4 linked regions of the Caenorhabditis elegans genome follow. The protein of the gene in region 3 purifies or fractionates together with the protein of the main gene of each other region. This does not show direct contact. Each region holds a gene or a part of one and is shown on either strand. Other genes may lie near its edges. The genes, in order: nex-3, K07C5.2, hint-1 and pho-8.

Region 1 (4,316 bases), on a different chromosome or scaffold from region 3:
TGAATAGGAATCGAATGCCGATGAACGAGGAACACGCCAATTTTCGATCCATGTGAGGGTCACTATGAAGAACAAAAGAAATGGAATCTAAAAGGAAACGGAAAAGGCGTCGGGAGGGGACCTTATGGATAATTATAGTCTGCAGTTTTGCTACATAACAAATTTTTGAATTTGATTCAAGGGGAGAATCTTAAAAAGATCAAGAGTTCGTGATGAAACAGAGAATGGCCAAAATTATGGACTGGCACATTAATTGAAACATTGTTCTACAGTGAAATAAATATTTTTCTGCATTTAGTTTAACAGACTTTTAAATGAGTCTAATCAGAAATTCTATAGAAAAATATTTCGATTAATAATCGGGGTTTTGAGGTACAATTGCTTCAGGTCCTGTTCTGTTCTAACCGACTCGGGAGATGTCAGCTGCTCGAAAATCATAAGAAATTTATAATGGGATGTTGACCAGCATTGAACGTGGGACATGTAATGCTAATTTTCAAGAAAACTTTGTGAGCACTTTTTGGAATTGTCGCTTGTCATTTTTCAAACTTTTATTAAAATAAAAACGTTTAGAAATAGATTTTATAAAGTAGTTTCAATGTAAAGCAATTTCAAACAGAAAGCATTTTAATCGATAGTTTGTATTTCATTTTCTAAGGTCTTGGATTTCCCTTGACAAGCATCGTCAAACCATCACGGTATTCTGCCTTGCACTCCTCCTTGATTAGCTGCAATTTTATGAAATTTATAAAGAGAAACCAATATGGTTTTCTATAGAAAATATTACGAACATCGCTCTGGGGATCTTAAATAGAAATTTGTATTTTGAACTGTATTTGGAAATATCAACATATTTTTTGTTCTATTTTCAGTACACATTTTGGCGTAAACGTTGCAGGTAATATCAGTCTACTTGATAGGCTCACCTGAGTCAATGGTTTTCCAAAAAGAGTTTGAAATTCGTGTTCAATGATCACCAAATCATTTTCCGATCGGGATACCAGAATACGAATAAGATCCTTGTCACGTGTTCCCATTCCCTGAAAACATGAATATTTCCTGAACTTTGAGGGTTTTTATCTAGAATGTTTTTAGCGTTACCAGCTTTAGTTTAACTCTTTTCCTATATCTTCATAGTTGATTAATTTTATCTAAAGCCTTACGCCTACACGCGTGCCTACTACATTGCTTACTTCTGTGCCTACTTCCGTGCCTACGTAGGAAGTTAAGCACGATATGTGTGTAGACTTGTGAAAGTTCCTACATGTAACAAAAAGATAAATGTTTAAATCAAATCAGGAAATTTTTGTCATTTACCTAAAGTCAAATTTCTCTGAACTAAGATTTCAAATATCTTGCACCTACCTTGGTTGCCAAATGAATCGAATTTGCAAAATATCGAGGCTTATTTCTCGAAGTCTCAATAAGAGACAACACCAAATTCTTGAAATCTCCGCTGAGCTCCTTGTCAATAAGTTTCTGGAACTCTTTTCCAGATTGTCTCTCGACTTCTTCAATAACTTTTTGAATATGAGCTCCATTGCATGTTGCAAAGATCTTGAACGCATCGAATTTTTCGACTCCAGACTTTTTGTCAAAACTTTTCAGAATTTGAGCAGCGTGAGGCCCAACTTTGAATGTATCAGCGAATCCACCTTCTTCGCGTTTTGCTTGGAGAATGACAATGAGAAGACGCCGGAAGTCTCCAGAAGTATCAGCAGAAATTGCATCTTCCAATGATTTGGAGTAAGTCATGAAGTAAGTGTTTCTAGAAAAAACATATGTTGATATTAATTTTTTTAAGGACATTTTCTAGAAAACAACTTTAAAATTATCATTGGGTTCGTTTTCGGGAGACCTAACTAGCTTTCAAAAGCCTACGCACAGGAATTACGACTGATTCATACTTTTGAAATCTCCGCCTTTCTGCGTGCCTACGTTATACCTTGCTTCGGGACCTACATCAAGACTGTCTGCCTATGCCTTATTCATAACCATAGTGCTGTCTGGGTTATGTTTGTCTACCCACGGACCTACCTTATGCCTGCCTAAGTGCCTACTCTGCACCAAATCGCTGCCTACCTATGTGTTTTCACGTTCCCGCCTGATGTCTATACCATGCCTACTTCCCAATTGTTTCTGTTGTTGTAAAATTTAGTTTTGACTTCAAGCTTCTAATTTCGAAAAACTTTTTAAAAACTAACTTCGCCGCTTCAATTTCCTCGTTAGTCCTAGTTGTCAGAATTTCGATCAAATTTTTCTCATTTGTTCCAAGACCCTTCACAGATCGATTCAGCTCAGTCACGTCTAGTTTAGTAGGAGTTTGAAGTAGAGCAACGAGAAAATCTTCGAAATCTCCAGAAAATGCTTTTTTGATTTCATCTTCCAAATCCTTTCCGTAACGAGTTTTGTAGGGTGTGCGGATCTGGAAATATGGAGCTTTTAGACATAGGCAGGTGAGTAGGCAGGCATGCCTACCTACCATTAAAATCTTACCATCTGTCTCTGTGTATTATTAACCGAAACCAAGATTTCCAAAATCTTCAGTTTCTCCTTGTTTCTAAGAGCCTTCTCTAGTTGCTCCGAGGCGGCAACCTACAATTTTCGGCTTAACTTTACTAGTTTCCCACAGGCTTACCTCATCAAAATACGGCTTGAAATGGATCTTTGCAGTTGCCATTATGTCGGTTTTCTAGAACTTTGAGGTATATATTTCAGGTAGACTTTTTGAGGTATTTGGATAATGGGAGAATTGAATGTGGTAAAGAATTTTGCACTTTTGGATCAGGGATTACACGACAGTTCAATATAGTACAAAGAAAAAGTGAACCGAATTTGCTTGTAAAATATGATGTATCAAGTATGTGTGAACACGGCCAATGCATCAAATTTTATGAGCAAATCTATAGAATGTGGGAAGTGCAGTACTTTCTGAATGCTTTATTGATAGCGTTTCAGATTTATTTTTTTTAGGATTTTTAAAGTAAATATTTTAATTTTCCTAAAACGCCTAATAGCTCCCTATGAGGCTGGCAGAATTCAAGATTCTCGTAATTTCGCAGTTGGATAATATTTTTTATTTATTTTCTTCGTAGGGAAGTTTCAAGTATTACGTCCACCAATGAGTGTAAATATTTGTGAAACATTGAAAAGAAGTCTGCAAAATAGTGGAAAATTGACGTCAGTTCATCTTTGATTCCTACTTTTTAAACGGAAATAAAATTAAATTGAAAGAGATTCATAACTGGTTATGCTTCGAAAATAAGGCAGAAATATATTGAGAACGAAATAACTGCGATGAGTCATTTGAAACTGTCTGAACACTTTTATTGTCCACAAAAATAGGGAGTGGTTTTTCGAAAAAGAGACCTTCGAAAAGAAAAGAGATGTGATGATGAGTCAGTGGAATTTTAGAAAAGAAATTTTGAAATACTTTTGATTTCGAAATTAAATAGAATTTTTGGGGAAACTTTCCTAACTTTGACAATTAGAAAATTTAACAATTTTGCTACAAAAAAAATTATAGCTTATTATTTGTCATTGGTATTTTTTAAGGTATTCTGGGAAATTCAAACATTTTCGTTATTTTTCTAGAATTTTGCGTGAAAAATGATGAAAAATTAAAATTAAAATTGAATCAAAAACCGTTTTCTTCCCACTATATCATGTCACTATATCATGCACTTCTTAACTTAATTTTAAAATTAAAAAGAAATATTAAAAGCAACAGAAAAGTGGAAAAAACTTGAATTTACGGTTTTACCTAACGAGACCCAATGTTTAGGGGCGGAGCGTTTAAAATTGGCGTTGGGGCGAGATTGATTTTCGATTTCGAAAGGCGTTTTTTGCGTCCCCCTAATATGACTTTTGATTTTTTTTTTTTGCAAAATAGATTCTTGCACGAAAATTTTCGGGAATATTGTTACAGAACACTTGTGAGGAAATTTGAATGTTTCACTATCACATTATTCACGAAAATTGACAGAAATATAAAGGTCTGAGAATATTATGAAAACTTATTATTTAAAATTCTGCTCAAAAATCGCAAAATAAATGCTCTGCGGATATATTGAAATTCCAAGTTCTATAAAATTGCAAAAACTTGTGAAATACCTGCCCAAATGCGAACAGATCATCATTTTCGTGTCTTTTCAAAAAGGTTGGCAGACACTTTGAAAGAGAAAGTGAGGATATTCGGAACGAATTCAATTGAAATGGTCACGGTTGAAAAGGAATTATACATTATTGATGCTAGTTAGGATATGTATAGGCTTCTATTGTGAATTACAATTGAGATCAATTTAGAGAAAATATTC
Region 2 (3,894 bases), on a different chromosome or scaffold from region 3:
TTAAAAACTTACCTTGATAAGATACTTGGTAATATCTCTTCCTGCAATATCCAATCGTCTTGTCAAATGATGAAGAGCAAATCCTTCGTAAACAGGACAGATGTGGGTAACACCATCTCCGGAGTCAACTACAACTCCTGTCAAAAGACCTTGAGCATAAAGAGTGAGCACAGCCTGAAAATATAATCATTATGATTTTATCATGAGGATTAACTATTACCTGAACCGCCACATAGATAGAATTGAATCCATACTGCTCAAACATAACTTGAAACATTTTCTCACGATTGCTGTTCGGATTGAGTGGTGGTTCTGTCAGCAGCAGTTTACACTCTTTCGGGTCGATATCCAACTTTTCCGGTCCAAAAGTATGATCCCATACATGCGCCATATCATCCCAGTTTCTAACAATTCCGTTGTCCATGGGATAATTGATATCAAGCATTTGACGAAGCTGAGAGCACTCCTCGCCAACCATCAAATCCTGTGAGAAAACAGTTATAAGACCTTTCTGTGTAAAGTTTTACCTTAATTTCAATATTTCCAACTCTTTGTGTCGATCTCACGATTGGCCGACCGACCATTGAAGGGAATATATGAGCTGGGAAATTGGTTCCTGCATACCCGCATTTGACGAACTGCAAATACAGAATTTTTGAAAATAAAATGGGATAAAATTTTGCAACTTACACCTGTTCCGTTGTCAACGACAATCACCTTTCGCCCTTGCGAATCCATTTCGCCTGAAAATTGTTAAATCGATTGTGCGGGTTTCGAATGAGTCATAAAGAGAAGAAAAGTAAATAAATAGCAAATTTGCTTGCCAATCGATGAAACCGGTAAAAATTTCGTTTTGACACTGTCTTAGTTGGCTTAAAATAGAACAAAGTACGAACATTTAAGCAATATTTTACATTACTTAGATTTTAATTTAATGAACGAGGGTTTCTGGAAAGTAAATCTGACTATATTTAGTGGAGATCGCCGTCAAAATACGCGGAAGTCGATGGAAAAATGTTTCTACAATTTCGCGAGAATTTTTATGTTCTTCATAGAATACGAAAACAATTATAAGATTAAAATATACAGAAAAGAAATAAGGAAATTCTATTGAAATAAAAACATGACAGTTCTGTCTATAGTGGAGACGCAGGGAATTGGTTGTCGATGGAGCAGATTTGCAGCAAGAGTATCGTAGTGTAAAAACAGATTTAAAAAATCTAAATCATGAACCTTTGTTTTTTTTATTATTTTATTAGTTTTATTTATAACATTTATTTTTATTTACATGTTTACCATATTTATGATTTTTTTTACTTGTGTGATTAGTTTTTGGTAGAAATTTCTGAATATTTATGTAAAAAAACATTTTCAACATCTGTAATAAATAAGTTGCGATATGGATTGTACCGAATTATTTCCACATGAAACATGGCTTTTTATAATAAAGGCTCTTCCTCACATCCAAAATTTTAATTTCTCAGTTAATTTTAAGAAAAATGGGAAGAGACAACATAACAACTAGGATAGGTCATGTGTATATGGTAGTGTTCCTATCGTGATTGGAAATGATCACAATATAACGTCATTCTTCTGTTAATTCAATTTTTCTCTGTTTAGTAAACTTATTGAACTCTAAATACAAACTTCGCAAAGAGAGTGTTTCAATGATCGAACGCTTCGTTCAAAGTCTATGAATTACCATTGAATAGTGTAAATTACAACAAACATCACATCTTAACTTTCAAAAATTGTTCAATGAAACTTCCATTGTTTGTTGAACTGTCCCCCTCCTCCTCTACCTATCTCTTATTTATATTTAATGTCCTCTATTCTTCATTTCTTGCCATTTTTATATTCTTTTATCTCATTTAAATGTATTTTCAGACTATGAGTGTTTTCACAAATGTTGTTGGTGGTGCATTCAAGTTTTCCGATGGATACGAAATGCCAAAAATTGGTCTTGGAATCTCTCGAATTGAAACTCAACAAGATTTAGATGTCTCTATTGAAGCCGCTCTGAAATCTGGATATCGTCAATTTGACACAGCCAATCTCTACAAAAACGAAACGTTTCTTGGTAATTCCCTGAAGGTAAATTTAAACTGATTTCTGAAAAACTATTCAAACCTCTAAAATTTTAGAAATATCTACCACAATTTGGCTTGACACGTGAAGATGTGTTCATCACTACTAAAGTTCGTACTCTCAATGAAAATACTGTGGAGGAAACTGAGAAACAACTAGCCAATTCCCTTGCAACTTTGCAAACCGAGTAGGAAAATATTTGTTGAGTTATCATCAGAATTATTTCTATTTTCAGTTATGTAGATCTTCTTTTAATTCACTATCCACGTGACCGTGATACTGGAAACGATGATGACTACGAAATTAACAAAAGTAGAAGGAAAATTGTTTGGCAGACACTTGAAAAGGCAAAAGGTATGTTGGTTTCATGGTCATTTCATATAAAGTTGAGTTCCTTTTTCAACGTGGTTGGCGTTATCAATTATTTTGAAATAATAGTGGTAGATCAATCCGATCAAAAAAATCATTCTCTCATCTTACTCTAAGAATACTTTTGCAATTGCAATGTAATTAGTAGATTCCAATGTTCAGAAAATTATATTTATAAATGAAACAACCTATGAATTGATGAAGTTCCGTTTTTAGATTTTCTAAGTATAATGTTAGTATTACAACTGAGCAGTTGTGACACTTTACAAAATTCCATCTTTAAAAAAAATTAAAAATTACATTTTTCAGAGTCTGGAAGAGTTCGTTCAATTGGAGTGTCCAACTATGAAGTTTATCATCTCGTTGAAATGTTTGAGTATGCAAAAATTCGTCCAGTCCTCAATCAATACGAATACCAACCGTACTTGACTCGTCCAACTCTTAAAAAGTTCTGTGATCTGAACAATATCGTCGTTCAATCATATTCTTCTCTATGCTGGGGAGATAAAGAAATTCTTCAAGAGAAACCATTGGTCGATCTTTGTCAAAAATACAATCAGACTCCGCAAGCAATTCTCTATGCTTTTGCACACTGCAGTAATACTTCTATGATTCCAAAATCTGCAACTCCATCGAGAATTCACGATAATTTACACAATGTGAGAAACCTGTATTTTCAAACAATTTAGAATAATTTTTTTCCAGACCATAAAAATCAAATTGACCGAGGACGAGCTGAAATCTCTCAGATCTCTGGACAAGGGAAAATCATTCCCACAGATTGGTCAAACTTGGAGATGTCTATAATTTTTTTTCCATCTTAGATTTTCCATATAGGTATTTCTATTCCGATGTTCAGCATTACCTGTTAATTTTTGTATGATATAAACATTATTTAACATAGAACAATTTTTCCATAACTGCATTTTGTCAAATTATTCAGGATAGTTCAGATAGATTCAAAAACTACAGTAGTTCTAGGAATTTTTTCAAAGGAATTTTAGACATATCATCCCGCAAACTTGAAAATATATAATAATAGTACAATTCCTTTTATAAAATTTTAATTCGAAAATAGCTCAGATTTTTATTGGAGTCGTAGTACGGAGACCCGAAGAACTCGGGGGATGTCCAATTGGGGGGATTACCAACTCGGGGGATTGGCCCCGCCCACAGGACCGTGGCTTGCAATACGCCCATTTCTGCAACTGCCGCACGGTTTCGAAACTGTATTTTTCTCAATAGAGCGAGAATTAACAAGAAAAATACAGTTTCAAAACCGTGCGGCAGTTGCAGAAATGGGCGTATTGCAAGCCACGGTTCTGTCGGCGGGGCCAATCCCCCGAGTTGGTAATCCCCCCAGTTGGACATCCCCCGAGTTCTTCGGGTCTCGTAGTACGATTTTTTGATACTACTACAAGATAGAGTTTGTGGTTC
Region 3 (3,200 bases):
ATCATATTATTGACGACTTTAGTCTGATCAAATCATCATGTCAACACTATGATGGACGCAGTTTTATTGTTGAAGTAAGTTATCGATTTTAAAAAAAACTATTAAAATAAAAATATTGCAGGCTCAAGCATCTCTGGCAGGTTGGGTCGCATTGAGTGTGCATGAAGATCCACAAAAGCTACACACCTGTGATGCTGTAAGCCGAAATGGATATCAATCAGTATGTGGCAAAAGTGTCCTGGTTCATTTTGAATTGTTCACATTTTGGTTTTTGCTTATCAAAATTTCCCAGAACATATAAGCCACAACCTCCTGCAGTTTACATAATATAATTTCAGCTCCCGAATCCAGTCGTTGATTCTGATGTACAGTATCTTCATGATACAAGACTGTTGGATGTATGTGACTTATAGTTCAGAATTTTTCAAGTAATCACATTTTTAGATTATGACTGGTAATGGATATGTTCAAACACCCGAAACCGACGTACAAGATCAACAATCAAGTCAACATCAAGAAGACGTGCATTCTCAAATGAACTCGCAGACATCTGATTCGTACAATTCCTCTAGAGTTGTGTCAGAGAATCGGGAAATACCTCCGGAAACTTTTCGAAGCCAAAGTATCGAATTGAATCAAGTTGATTCATCCTTGTCCCAGACTACAATCTCAAGTCGAGCAGCACCAGTTATTGATTCAAATCAGTTATCAGATGAAGATGAAATTGATGATGAAGATACATACGGAACACGTGGAACATCTAATATTCCGATGAGACCGTTTATTAAAGATTTAGCTCCAACGATGCTTCAACTGCTTCGTCAAGATAAAACTGATTCCGAAAAAGTACGTAATGCCAGAACAATAATATTAATCTTCATCACCATATTTCAGCCTCAATCTGCTTTATGCACCGTTGTGCAAAAAATCGATGGCTTTGCAATTTTGTACACAGCCAAAAGAGACGTTATAAACGTTTTGCTTCAAGAAAGATCGTGTGAAGGATTGGAAAGATCCCCTCAACTCGGAGACGTGGCATTCTTCGATATCTTGCCTCGTAGAATTGAAACAAAAGATAGGCTCATTTTCAAGATTCCATATACACATATTGCAGGTATTTTACAATTTACCAATGTTTTAAAAAAACTTTAATTTTAAGTGAAAAAGAAACCAGACACGCCAGATTCTCTCCTTAAAATTGATTGCTTTAAAAACTCGGTCAGATGCTTCGGAGGAGTGCTTGAAATGAAAGTAAAAATCGCACTTTCAAAACCTGAACTAGTAGTGGAGCAATATCATGACAACACAGAGATGAACTCGGATCATCATTTTTATTATTTGAAAGCAACAAATGGAGTACTTGTCACAATTCCAAAAGAACGTCTTCTGAATCATTTGAATTCGAAATTATCAGCAGATTTTGACCTAATCGCGTGGGTTGTTCATCGAAAACCAATTGGAAATGTTTCATTACATATTGGAAAGGGAGGTGAAGCTTATCAACAGTTCACAAATGGAGATATTCGAGAGCTTCCGCCATTGTCTTCTAATCAATATTTCATGAATGGTAAGTAAGAGGGAAACCGAGTTTTCGAAGAAACCTAGGAGAATTCTTGGTTTTCTATTCAAATTATTATTTCAGTTCGAAAGTAAAAACTGCACAATCGACAAATCACGTTATGGGTTCAAATTGTATTCTGGTACATTAATTCTTGTTCTTGTGTTAACTTTTTTGATTATTTTTTGTATCATTTTACTGATTAAAGCATTTATTTTCACATGTTTATTGTTTATTTCTCGTTGTCTAGCGTTTTCATCGTTTGAAATATATTGCATATTGGTTATTTTTTGCCCATTTTTCAATATTTTAGTATGGCTTCCTCTTTGGTTAAAACCGCTTTGCGTCTTGCTTACCGTAATCCAGTTAGGTCAGGGTTACTGTAGGCAAGGTGTCTTTATCGATTCCACCATTTTTCAGGTTTACAAAGAGAAACATGTCGGAAGTAGATAAAGCCCACTTGGCGGCAATTAACAAAGATGTTCAAGCCAACGACACTCTTTTCGGAAAAATAATTCGAAAAGAGATTCCAGCGAAAATCATTTTTGAAGATGATGAGGTATGTAAGATCAGGCAAACGATCACATAAAATATTTATTTAAGGCTCTCGCATTCCATGATGTCTCTCCACAAGCTCCAATTCATTTTCTTGTGATCCCTAAGCGTCGCATTGATATGCTCGAGAATGCCGTTGATTCGGATGCTGCGCTTATTGGAAAGCTTATGGTTACTGCTTCAAAGGTAATTATAAATGAGTAAAAACGAATTTGAAAATCCAGAAATCTCCATTATATTACTCTTAAATAAAATTCCAGGTTGCAAAGCAGCTCGGCATGGCCAATGGATACCGTGTTGTTGTGAACAATGGAAAAGATGGAGCTCAATCAGTTTTCCATCTTCATCTCCACGTTTTGGGAGGACGTCAGCTCCAATGGCCACCTGGATAAATATTGCATTGCTTACATTCTGCCACTAATTCATTATCAGTCTTGTAAACAAATCAGTAAAAAATTATATTTATATTTATTTCCAAAACTATTTTAAACCGTGGCATCATGTTTTTTGAAATAAATGCATTCTTTTTCTTCTATCTGACGTGTTCAATTATTGAAACAATTAATCATTTCTGGTATAAAATATGACGCTGTACGATAAAGTGAAATCAATTCTGACGATTCCTGACAAAAATAGTAACGATTCGATCGTCAACGCAACTGACTTGTACTTGGAGTGGGAGAAAGGAGACGGGCAGTGTAAGTGTCACGTGTTTCAATGGCAAAGAAAGAGTTTTTAAATGTCATGAAATATGAATGTCGCCGGGCCCGGTTAGCTCAGCCGGTAGAGCACCAGACTCTTAATCTGGTTGTCGCGGGTTCGAGCCCCGCATTGGGCTGATCTTTTTGTATAGTTCAATTTTTTTCAGATCTTCTTCCACTCTTATTGATTTTCGTTATCTTCTTTTGCATAACTTGCGGTGTGTTTCAAGCTTTGTTGAGCCTTGTGGTTCTCTGTATCAGAAGCCTTTGCGGATTTGATGAGGAAGATGAAAACTTCAATATCAATGGAAACCACTTTGCTAGAAATTCGACACCTTCTGAACATCACGAGGAAATTGGAAATTTGGTACGGTTGTTTTAAAAGG
Region 4 (4,591 bases), on a different chromosome or scaffold from region 3:
CTCTTTTTCTCTCCCACACTCTCATCTGGTGGGGATTCAGAAGAAAACAACACACAAAAAATGAAGAATAGATGAACAATAAACAAAATGATAGGAATTACGTTCTTTATCTGTTTATTTTCAGCGAGCATGATGGAGTGCCAGATGATTTACTGAAAGTGTATACAGCATCTGGATGTATGAAAGTTGTGGATTCTGTGCTCACTGAAAGAACACCTACAGCCACAATTGATTTTACACCAAACTTTATTGGTAAGCCTTTAATACAACAAAATGTGATATACATATGAGCACTTGCGTACTGTCAAATCAAAAATGAAAACGTTTCTATTTACCCGTTAAATGTTCAGAAAATTATTTACAATATCTAAAAGTGCAAAGAGCAATACCGTTATTCCACACAAAAATAGAGAAAAATACACCAAGGATATTTGTCGTCAATCTTTACTCAACTCTTTTGGGTTTTCTAAATTTGCTCTATAAAACATTAACCATTTAAAATGTAAGATAGCAATAATTTATTTAATGGTTCCATGGGAACCAATGTTAAGATCTAGTTCATTTTGAATAAAATAAACTCGCTAAGAGAAATGGTAAGAAAAATGATAAAGAGTTGAACGTGTAAGACGAGTTTCCACATGCTTTGAGAGGAGTCCCGCATAACTGAAAATATGCGAACTTTGGTCTATAATGAGAAGATTATGCTTACCGTCATCATATCCGAGTAGTTTGTAACTGTCATATTTGAAAAAGCCACTGCCAATTGCGACACTTCACAAGGTTCCGGGCATCGGGAAAGCGGAATTCTGTATGGATCCGATGTAGTCTCATTTCGATAGTAGAGCTGAATAAATTAAAATGAACCATCAGCATTAATTTGAAAGAAAATATAAATAATTTTTTGTTAACCAAGTTTCCTAATAAAACTTATTTCAATTGAACAACTAACCTCAGAATAAAATTTTCCGTTGTCTGAATAAACATGCATGATAAGTGCAGCCGCATAAGGAACCATCATCTCATTTGAAGCACGGAATGCATTGAGAAGTGCAAGAAGAACACCATCATGCTGAAATTAATATAATAGATTTTCTCAGTTTCCATTAGATTTTACCGAAGAATAAAGAAGCATTCTCTGATCATTTCTGCTCTCAGAAACTGCAATTGCATTTTGAATCCAATTGTAAAGAACGGAGCCTCCTTCAAGTTTTCCTTTCTCTTCTGAATTAAATAGATTCATCATTCGAACGGTCCTCATTTCAGTTATAATGTCCATTGAAGTACGATTGTCATATTGAGGCCAGGTTTGTGTAACCCAATAAGGCTGTTTTGCAGTCATGTTATGAATCAACTCTCTTTGTATATCGAATAATCCATTAATATCCATATATGAACAGTGTTTGAATCCTGTAGTTTGAGAAAGTTCACTGAAGAAGTCTGCATACTTAACACTATAATAAGCGTTTGATTCTTGATCGCCTTGAGCCACTAAAACTTCATGACGAGCACATTTTATCGCAGTTGGTTTGCACACCTGAATCAGTTTATCTTAGTAAATGTAGTCTATAATGAATAGTCACTCTCCGGAAATAGAAATTGGGCTTCAAAATGTTTTATCAGTTGTTCTTACGTACTTTCTAATCTCTTTTGTCTTTCTGACGCATTTGTGATAAAACCTCATAAGAACAACTTTAGTTTAAATCTAAAAATCAACGGTTACCAAATCAGGTTCTCCTGGAGTAGATGCATGTACTGGAAGAGGTTGCCAGTCTATATCTGAGCTCCATTGATAACCACCAGAAGCTGGGTATAGCCCGTAAAGAAATGCTTGTGCAGATACCAAAGCACGATCAGAATCGGAAGAGCGCAGGTAGACCTACAAATTTCAAGAGTTTAATTTACAGATATGGTATTGAGTTTCTTACTTCTTTCACTGAAAAATTAGACGGAATAAATGAAGAGTCCACGTATTGGTGTCGGAAGAACTCTCCGAGCTCGTGAAGTTGTTGCATTCCAATCTAAAATAAATAGGTTTTTAAGGCAAAGTAGCGCCAGTGAAGGTTTTGTCAACGTGTATTTGAAATCAATCAGAAAAACTAATTAAAACACTATAAGATATTTGAGATTTTCATAATTTATAGTCAGTTCTAAAAAACTATATCCAAAATTTATAACCAAAAATTTTGACACTTTTCCTGTGATATTTGGTTATTTGAGCGTCACTGGGAGATGTTAAACATTTTTTCTGCTCCGTTTTTTAGGTCACTCTTTATAGCTGAAACAAATTAAATGTAATTATAATTTTATTGTGATATGATAGAAGATCGCGTAAGAACTCACAAATATTCAACAAGTACATTTCTTTAAAAGTTTAATAAAACAAACCGAAGTCAACTGCCCCCATCCCCTTGACCAAGCTTTTTCTGTGTACTGGTCATTTGGATACGGTAAGTGTAGAGGAGCACGGTCTCCATGTCGCCACAGTGCTTGTACAAACTCAAGTTTCCTAGATTCTATATTATTGAACACGGCAAGAAATATGACAAGTCCTTGTATCAACATCATCACGTCGTCTAGAAATCTCTGCAAAAAATTGAAAAAGTGAATACCGGACAGAAAAGTCGCAAAAAAGGGGACGAGTTCTCATGCAGGTCTATCAGGTTACATACAAGAATCGCACGCTATCTGATGACGGAAATTCTGATTCTTTTGACGTCGTCGAAATTGAGACGAGTATGTTCCAAAATAGAGCAAAAGTGCGGTGTAGTTGGATTTAAATAGAAAGTGAAAGTGGGGAGGAGTCGAAAGACTGTTAATTGTATGAAGTTTTGTTATCAGTTAACATTTTACTCCCACGGAAAAAAATGATTTTTTATCTAAAACGAATACTGGGTTTGAAGTTCCCGAATTTGGAAACAAATACGGAGAATTTTGTCGATCGGTCTTGAAATTTTAGTGCAGCAAAAAACAGTAGTGCCCGCCAATGTTCTATTCGCTGGTAGCTTATCGATGATGTTTGTGGTATTTTCTAGCATTTTTTACAAAGTTATGTATTTTCGAATATGCTACCTCACCTAGCACCTCGCGAGTTTATTTATGACTACTACTCTTTGAATCCATGTAACTGAATACATTTTTATTCAACCCATTATAATCAAAAAATAATCTACATACATCTATTGCTTAATTTTAATTGTCATGTTCTTAAGTCGTCAGGAAACTTACATTAGGGACACAATTTTAACTTGCAGAATGCAATTATGATCGAATTGTTCCGAATATTGCTTTTCAGCAAAAAAATTGTTTGAAATATATATATTGATAAAGAAATGACAATAAATCGAAAGTTAGGAAAGATCATAAGTACATTTATTTCAAAAAACGAACAAATACATCCAAAAAATGAAGCTCACAAAATTGATACGGTCGAAAAAACGCAAAAATGTTATCTCTCCTTGCATTTTAATCTTCTTAGACATACATCAGAGCCATGAAGAAAATGTTCAGTATAGTTGCAAAAATAGTTGATTCCACGTGCAAACTAGGCGCATCCAGGCGAGAAATATCCACAAAGTCATTTAAAATTCCAAATTTCACAAACTCATCCGATTAGTACCCCCGCGTTTTCATGACCTCACGTGTTGTTTCAGGAACAAAGAAGCTTGTCGTTTCTGTTGTGAATACCAATACATTGAAGTTAGAACGAGGGTTTTTGGTTTACGGAAAGTCTGAAGCGCCACGGATTACGCAGAAGTTTGTCATACAAATTCCATCATCTGATGAAGCTATTAGAAAGGTTTGTTGAATTTATATAATATTGAATGTTAAAGATTTTTAGTTTGGATCGACAGTAATTTCCAAACATTTCAAACTATTATTTTAACTAAAATAACAAGAATTTTTTAAAGTCAAAATCGCTCACTAAATTTAATTTTTTTGGGGCATGAAACTGTGATTTTCATGATACTTCTTTATTTGGCTAGCATGCAACAGACAACTTTCAGAATAAGGTAAAAAATCCGTTCAAACTAAACACATCTAACATTAAAATAAATAACATTTTTTCAAAATTTGTGTACAGTAAGAATGTTTTTGTTTACTGTTATTCATTGTCATGCTAGCAAATAATTAAAATTTGAAATGAATCAGAGAAACAACAGATAACAAAATTCAAATTTAGACTATAAGGAGGTTTTTTTTCAATTTGAAAACAAACCGATGGACTGAACAACTCAAATGTATGTGTGTTCTCTGTGTTGGTTTCCGAGAACTTTAAGCATTTCCCTGACAGTCCTAATAAGTCAATGAAAAATATTCAACTTCTTAGAGTGTGAAAAATTTGTCGAAGAAGTTTATGTATAAAATAACGAAGTACAACTATTTTCCTGGTAGAATAGTCTAAAGCTCTTACAACAATCATTAATATTATAGAAACTGTTCATCTCAATTGATTTCAATTTTACATAGTTTGAAAAAAAAACAAAGTGAGGTCCTTTAGAATATGGCGTTTTCTAGGGTTATAAACCTATTTGGATATTGTATAATTTAAGCTTATATGAGAAATCCTTATTTAAATGATTTTACAGAAAAA

The links.
Region 1: the proteins of hint-1 (region 3) and nex-3 fractionate together in Caenorhabditis elegans (co-fractionation; one large-scale study listed by BioGRID). This does not show direct contact.
Region 2: the proteins of hint-1 (region 3) and K07C5.2 fractionate together in Caenorhabditis elegans (co-fractionation; one large-scale study listed by BioGRID). This does not show direct contact.
Region 4: the proteins of hint-1 (region 3) and pho-8 fractionate together in Caenorhabditis elegans (co-fractionation; one large-scale study listed by BioGRID). This does not show direct contact.

The regions. Positions count from the first base shown.
Region 1 is NC_003281.10:4,440,457-4,444,772, reverse strand, and holds nex-3 (Annexin), read right to left. Parts: upstream 2,693-4,316; 5' UTR 2,681-2,692; coding exon 2,639-2,680; intron 2,596-2,638; coding exon 2,497-2,595; intron 2,426-2,496; coding exon 2,205-2,425; intron 1,769-2,204; coding exon 1,366-1,768; intron 1,041-1,365; coding exon 927-1,040; intron 729-926; coding exon 654-728; 3' UTR 536-653; downstream 1-535.
Region 2 is NC_003283.11:10,337,613-10,341,506, forward strand, and holds K07C5.2 (NADP-dependent oxidoreductase domain-containing protein), read left to right. Parts: upstream 1-1,887; 5' UTR 1,888-1,890; coding exon 1,891-2,094; intron 2,095-2,144; coding exon 2,145-2,275; intron 2,276-2,323; coding exon 2,324-2,442; intron 2,443-2,766; coding exon 2,767-3,116; intron 3,117-3,162; coding exon 3,163-3,264; 3' UTR 3,265-3,359; downstream 3,360-3,894. Other genes in the region: arx-2 (Actin-related protein 2), read right to left, coding at 13-174, 221-484, 528-638, 691-738.
Region 3 is NC_003279.8:7,279,106-7,282,305, reverse strand, and holds hint-1 (Histidine triad nucleotide-binding protein 1), read left to right. Parts: upstream 1-1,978; 5' UTR 1,979-1,994; coding exon 1,995-2,117; intron 2,118-2,161; coding exon 2,162-2,299; intron 2,300-2,373; coding exon 2,374-2,505; 3' UTR 2,506-2,636; downstream 2,637-3,200. Other genes in the region: rde-2 (SH2 domain-containing protein), read left to right, coding at 1-74, 122-220, 339-398, 445-846, 895-1,114, 1,160-1,567, 1,643-1,653; F21C3.7 (Small integral membrane protein), read left to right, coding at 2,697-2,811, 2,982-3,181.
Region 4 is NC_003283.11:11,831,619-11,836,209, reverse strand, and holds pho-8 (intestinal acid PHOsphatase), read right to left. Parts: upstream 2,592-4,591; 5' UTR 2,566-2,591; coding exon 2,386-2,565; intron 2,019-2,385; coding exon 1,926-2,018; intron 1,877-1,925; coding exon 1,721-1,876; intron 1,535-1,720; coding exon 1,115-1,534; intron 1,070-1,114; coding exon 950-1,069; intron 845-949; coding exon 710-844; intron 664-709; coding exon 559-663; 3' UTR 502-558; downstream 1-501. Other genes in the region: nphp-4 (uncharacterized protein), read left to right, coding at 125-252, 3,651-3,796.